Danio rerio: one gene and its partner. The protein of the gene in region 2 purifies or fractionates together with the protein of the main gene of each other region. This does not show direct contact. Links are inferred from orthologs where the notes say so. Each region holds a gene or a part of one and is shown on either strand. Other genes may lie near its edges.

Region 1 (2,440 bases), on a different chromosome or scaffold from region 2:
CTCCTTACTGAAACAGGGCCCTGAGCAGAACCTGCTGAGGGTTTATTAAAGGTCCACAGAGGAGCCAGATAACCCACAGGGCAGGAGAAAACAATCAACATTATACACACAAACACACGAACACACACACACACACACACACACACACACGCACACACACACACACTGCAGGAACACGGAGAGCGCCATCTAGCGGCATTCGGAGTATCAACATCAGCTCAGTGTTTATAACATATACTGTGTATTTCTGCACACTGAATAATCCACATGAGGGAACAATAATGTGTTAGACCAGTGGTTCTCAAATTGTTTTCATTAAGTTCCACCTCAGAAAAAAATAGTCTCTCCAAGTACCACCAAAATGAGCAGTATTGAAATACAGTAGTGTAGTAGGCCCAGTAAAGCAGCTACAACTCTGCACAGTTAAAAAAATGTGGCAAAATACCTCAGAAATATAGGCTGTATGTCATGTATGGCATACTATATACATCATTTTTGATAAATTTGGAAATATATGTAGCATGTACATGCCATATTGCATCCCTCCACGTACCACTAGAAGGAAGCCCGCGTACCACTAGTGGTATACGTACCACAGTTTGAGAACCACTGTGTTAGACCAATCTTCCTGATGGAAATAAACACACACACACACACACACACACACACACACACACACACACACACACACACACACACACACACACACACAGCGGTGAAGGAAATTAAAACTTTATTTACAAAAATGATTTGTAAAACATCTGACATACAAAACACTCAACTGAAGACTGCTGCAGCACATGCCGAGCGCGCTCACACACACACACACACACACACACACACACACACACACTGAAGCCTGCTAAACTCTCTGCGGGGTTGAACTGCAGCAGATGACCAACACATTGACATTACTCCACGGCGGCGTCTTCATCTACAGCTGCAGGCTGTGAAGGAGAGATGTGCACCAGTAAGTGCACTCAGACAGCATCAGCACTTCTTAGGGAGCCTCCGTCAGCAGCACTGAAGAGAACTGGCAGAAAACTGATGTTTAATCATACACGACTGCTGACGAGGGCAGAGACCTTCAACATCCCATAATGCCTCGGTGCGGTCAGGTCAGAGGTCAGAGGTCGTGTGCGGCGCGCTCCTCCTCGTCCTGCTGCTGGACGGAGCTCAGGTACTGCTCCAGCAGACTGCAGTTCTGCGCGTCTCCAGAGGCGGCGCTGCTGTTCACACACGGAGAACCGCACTCCGGCACCGAGAGATCAGCGTGTGTGTGTGTGTCAGTGCTACTGTCTGCAGGAGTGTGTGCTGCGCTGTCGGCAGGAGTGTGTGTCTTGTTGAGCGCAGGAGTGTGTGTTGTGTTAAGCCGCTGGTCCACAGACGCCTGCCACTGCAACAACACCTGCAGCTGGAGAAGCAGATGTTCAGCGTGTGTGTGTGTTTATGTGAGTGTGTGTGTGTGTGTGTGTGTTTATGTGTGTGTGTGTGTGTGTGTGTGAGTGTGTGTGTGTGTGTGTGTGTGTCTGTGTGTGTTTATGTGTGTGTGTGTGTGTGTGTGAGTGTGTGTGTGTGTGTGTGTGTCTGTGTGTGTTTATGTGTGTGTGAGTGTGTGTGTGTGTGTGTCTGTGTGTGTTTATGTGTGTGTTTTTCACTGACCTGTTTCCACAGAACCTTCACTGCTTCTTCTTGAACACGTCTCTGCAGTCGCTCTTCTTCTTGCTGCCGGCGGACCCTGAAACAAAGCAGTCACACACACACACACTCTTCAGTTCACGCTGTGCTTGATCTCAACTAGAGTCATCTTCAATTCTCGGAGCAGAGATGAGCCGACCTCTGACCTCTAGCGCTCTTCATTCCACTTTACCTCACAAGTACACACACACACACACACACACACACACACACACACACACACACACACACACACACACACAAACAGTTCACCTGTCCAGCTGTGTGCTCAGGTGTATGATGTGGTCCTGCATCCTCCGCATGCGTATCTCTGCACGCACCGCTCTGGCCTGCGGGTGGCGCTGGCGAGTCCACTGGCCCCTCCACCAGCTCTGGATCCTCACGGCGGCGTCCTGCGGCTCACACTGCTGATGCTCTGAGGACACGCCCCCACACACTGGCTCCTCCCCTGGGGCACGGTGCTGAGTGGATGTGGGAGGAGCCAGAGAGTCCTCAAACTCCTCCTCTCCGCTGTCAGGAGCTGAAGCCGGAGGAGCGGCAGATTCAGACGCCAGCGGCCCCGGGGCCTCCAGATCCTGCAGGAGCAGCCCGTCTGCAGCCACAGCGGGGGGAGGAGCGGAGGGGGGAGGAGCGGCCAAGGGTGGAGACACAGAGTCCATCCACGCGTTCACCCGAACTGCAGGCTCCACATCTGCACCACACACACACACACACACACACACACACACACACACACACACAC
Region 2 (3,835 bases):
AAGCTGTTTCTCTTTAAGTGCCAGCTGATTCTTCAAGCGCTCCACAAGGTTTTTCATGGTGTTGGATGGTGATCTGACGTTGGCCTCCTTCTGAGCCTCTAGTTCTGTACGGAGGTAATGCAGCTCTTTCTCCATCTGAATGAGTTGAGCCCTCAGCTCTTCTGCCTCCTGGGACAGACCCTTCATTTGGGCAGCATGTTTATCCTCCAATCTTGGAATGACAAGATGGTTCAATTTGCCATGAGGAATCATTAAATAGATGTTATATAACATATTCACGCGATTTCTCACCTGGCCATATCTGCAGCGTGTTCCATGGCTTGAGCCGCTGTCACCTGTCTCTGTTGGTCCAACTCTTGAGTGACAATCTTCAGCTTTTGAGAGAGTGAGGAGAGGGAATTGTCCTGCTCAGCCACCGTCTGCTCCATTTCTGCCAACCGGACCAAGTGTTTACTTGTCGGTACGGTGATGGTGGGTTTCTTAATGAGCTCCTACAGAAGAAAAAACTTGACTAACCTAATAAAAATGACAACTGCAATGCTTTATGATATTATTACATTCATTTTGTACACCATGTTTGTTTTTTTAATTCACTTCTGGCCCAATTAGAGCTTTATAATTAATACTCAAGGTACCAGAGCGGTTTGTTTGAAGCGGTCCAGAGATGTGTCCATATAGACGTCTAGTTTCTGATGAAGGGCCCGGACCTCTTCCTCATGTCTTTTGGCAATCTCTTCCTGCTCCTGGAAAAATAAGATGGGATATTTTATTTTAATTGTGCAATAAAAACACAGTTATCAATTTTTACAACATGTTAAACTGGTACCTGGCGAGCCTTTCCTAGAAGGTTCTGGTACTTTTTGAGAACCTCTTCTTTCTGATCCAGACGCCCTTGGAGGTTATTAATGGTTTGGTGAGCGACTTTCAGGGTGGGCTGGCTCTCAGAGTCCTCCTGTTTGCTCAGGTTAGCCAGGAGTTTCTCCCTCTCAGCAGCAGCTGGTAGACGAAGTCTAAGTTCATTGATTACTTTGTCTCGAGATAAAACGTTCTGTTCTGATGACCATAAAGCAGCTTCCTTTTCTTTTAGCTTCTGCTCAGAGAAAAAGAAAATGCTTTTGAGACACCCTTAAAGGAGAAGTTTATCCAAATCTTACATTTTTCTTAGAAGAGCATTAAAATGGTCCTGCTGTGCTAAGATCTGATTTTGTTTTAGTGGCGTACTAGAACGTTTACTCATGCTTATCATTTCAAAAATTATTTTTCACATAAATTGTATTATTGTAATACATTTCTCCCCAACCTCAACATAAGTGGATGAATTCATGTGCTATAAAGCCAGTAGCTCCACTTTAGCACAGATTAACATGACAGCCCCCATCACATGAAGGAATTCGATTATTTTTACATGAACTTTCATATTTAGGCCTTTTGGTAAAGTAAAGGTGAATTGATTTTAAACTTGGATTAAAAAGTACCTCTTCCAGAATTTTGCAGGTAGTTTTTGTCTCAAGAATGGTACGAACATGCTCTTTGATTTTTCCGAGTGCATAGTCTAATTGGTTTGCTAAAGGCTGGTTTGGATCCGGCAGAGAACCTGTGGCTTCCTCAAACTAAACACAGACAGGACAGGTTAAGTGCAGGTTAAACTTTCCTTCAGAAAACAGCATACTAGAGTACAGTAAAAACATTTGCCATGTCTGCCAAGACTTTGTATTGACGGTACCTTCTGAGCTGTGTTCAGAACTTCATTCTGCTGTTTCTCATAGGAGTCAAGTTGACGCTCCAGTTGCACCTCTCTCTGATCCCAGATCAACTGGCGTTCCTCGAGTAGCTGATACAAGGAAAGCGAATAGGACTAGATTTAAGTTTGCTCTATATATAATGTCAAAAAGTGTTTCAATGCAATACTGACATTATTCTGCTGCACCAGCTCTTCTTCCAGGCCACTGATGGTGCGTTCCTGCTCTGCCACACAGTTCTTCAGGTATTTGATCTCTTCCTTCTGAGTGTTCAGCTCTCTGCTCTGCCTCATTTCCAACAGACGAACATCCTCCAGTTTCTTATGCCACTCACTCACCTGTAGGGATGGAGATTAAGCTGTAAACTTATTGTACATTTTAAATACACTAAGAAACACTTTTAATATGAGTAACTTAATTTATGTAAACCTTTAATATGCATTTCTAAACAAAAATCACATCTGTCTGTCTGTCTGTCTGTCTGTCTGTCTATCTATCTATCTATCTATACATCTATATATTGCTATATACTCTATCCATTCATCCATTCATAATTTCTAAATATCAGTTAATCCATCATCTTATCCATCCACTTAATCTCTCCATAGACTCTAGCTATTTATCCATCCAGCAATCCAACAATTGTCTCTACCCATCCATAGATCTACAGCCCCTTTTTACCATCCATCCATCCATCCATCCATCCATCCATCCATCCATCCATCCATCCATCCATCCACTCTTAAACTGTTTATAATTCATTTATCCATCTAGACTCTATCATCACAATAAATGTGCATTATTTTTTTAGAAATTGCATACACAACTTATTCTTGAAAATGTAGCTAGGTATTTTTTCACATCACAGCTTTGTCTGTAATCAATCAACCTACTTTTTGAGCCCCTTTAGCATCTTTGAGTGTTGCTATGAGCTCCTCCAAGCCTTTCAGCTTTAGCTCCAGTTCCTGCGCCTTCCCTTCTGCCTTCCTTCTTTCTTCCTCTGCTATCTGTGCATCCTCTCTGACCCGAGCCCTGTCCTCTTGAAGGTGGAGCATGGTGTTTGAAAACTTCTCCTGCTGGGCTAGCGGCAGGGCTCCTGAGAACTGTCTGCGGAGGGCCTGGATGGTGTGCCGGAGGTGTCTGGCCCGCTGGTGACCCTCCTGCCTCGCGTGCCAGAGTGCCTGCTGTTGCTCATCCAGTTTTTGTTCGTCACGGAGCTTCTGCGCCTCCAGTTTCTGCAGACGTGTGTTTGCGGCCTCCAGACGGCTAATTGCTGTGGTCTCGCTCAGCTGGAGAGCCACAATGTGCTGATGGAGTTTGGCGATCAGGGCCTTTTCATCAGACTCAGCCTGAAGAGGAGAAGTGCAATTATTAACAAAGAATTTTCAATCAATTGTTTTTTTATTTCATGATTCTAATAACGATTCTCAAAAGCAGATGAAAATCAAGATTTCCTTTCCTTTTTTTAATAAAAAAAAAATTATGAACGTAAGAAAATGCAACGTTGAACATTTAATACGCTTTTATTTTAAATTAGAATTTTATTAAGTACTCTGAACATTAATTGGGCATTAATTAGATTTTTTTTGCTCCAATTTAAAATTCCACTTTTTTTTTAAAAAGTGTGTAATTTGATATTGTTTGATTTTTTTCCCTTACATTTTTAATCTGTATTCCAGGGAAGTGTGGGCATGTCTGGAGAAGTGCAGCAGGGCTTATTAATATCAATAAACAAAACATAATGTTGATGTTTCTATATAGTTTTTACTCTCGTATGTCACTTCTAAAATTATTACCATCCGTCTATAATGTCTCACAACTAATGCCGTTAGTATTAATCCAAGAATATAAGTATATCTCTGTGAGTGTCTGTGTGTAGTATACACTACCTGACAAAATTCTTGTCGCCTATCCAAGTTTTATGAACAACAGAGAATAATGCAACTTCCAGTTGATCATTTGGTATCAAAAGTGTCTTATATGAAAGACAAAGGCCTCTAGATTACGCTTATTTTACCAAACTGAAATATGATCATGCCTTGAATTTTAATTATTTAATTAGGACAGTAAGGTCTGACTTTGCTTAGACAAATGTC

The links.
Region 1: the proteins of cep290 (region 2) and cep97 purify together in Homo sapiens (co-immunoprecipitation; 4 studies listed by BioGRID and IntAct, with this or other methods). This does not show direct contact. The link is inferred for Danio rerio from reciprocal best matches to the Homo sapiens genes CEP290 and CEP97.

The regions. Positions count from the first base shown.
Region 1 is NC_133176.1:205,063-207,502, reverse strand, and holds the end of cep97 (centrosomal protein of 97 kDa), read right to left. Parts: intron 2,390-2,440; coding exon 1,951-2,389; intron 1,739-1,950; coding exon 1,663-1,738; intron 1,415-1,662; coding exon 1,127-1,414; 3' UTR 717-1,126; downstream 1-716. UniProt on the Homo sapiens protein: Acts as a key negative regulator of ciliogenesis in collaboration with CCP110 by capping the mother centriole thereby preventing cilia formation. Required for recruitment of CCP110 to the centrosome.
Region 2 is NC_133200.1:18,927,584-18,931,418, forward strand, and holds part of cep290 (centrosomal protein of 290 kDa), read right to left. Parts: intron 3,089-3,835; coding exon 2,633-3,088; intron 2,078-2,632; coding exon 1,913-2,077; intron 1,832-1,912; coding exon 1,724-1,831; intron 1,611-1,723; coding exon 1,476-1,610; intron 1,091-1,475; coding exon 827-1,090; intron 744-826; coding exon 636-743; intron 492-635; coding exon 292-491; intron 212-291; coding exon 1-211. UniProt on the Homo sapiens protein: Involved in early and late steps in cilia formation. Its association with CCP110 is required for inhibition of primary cilia formation by CCP110.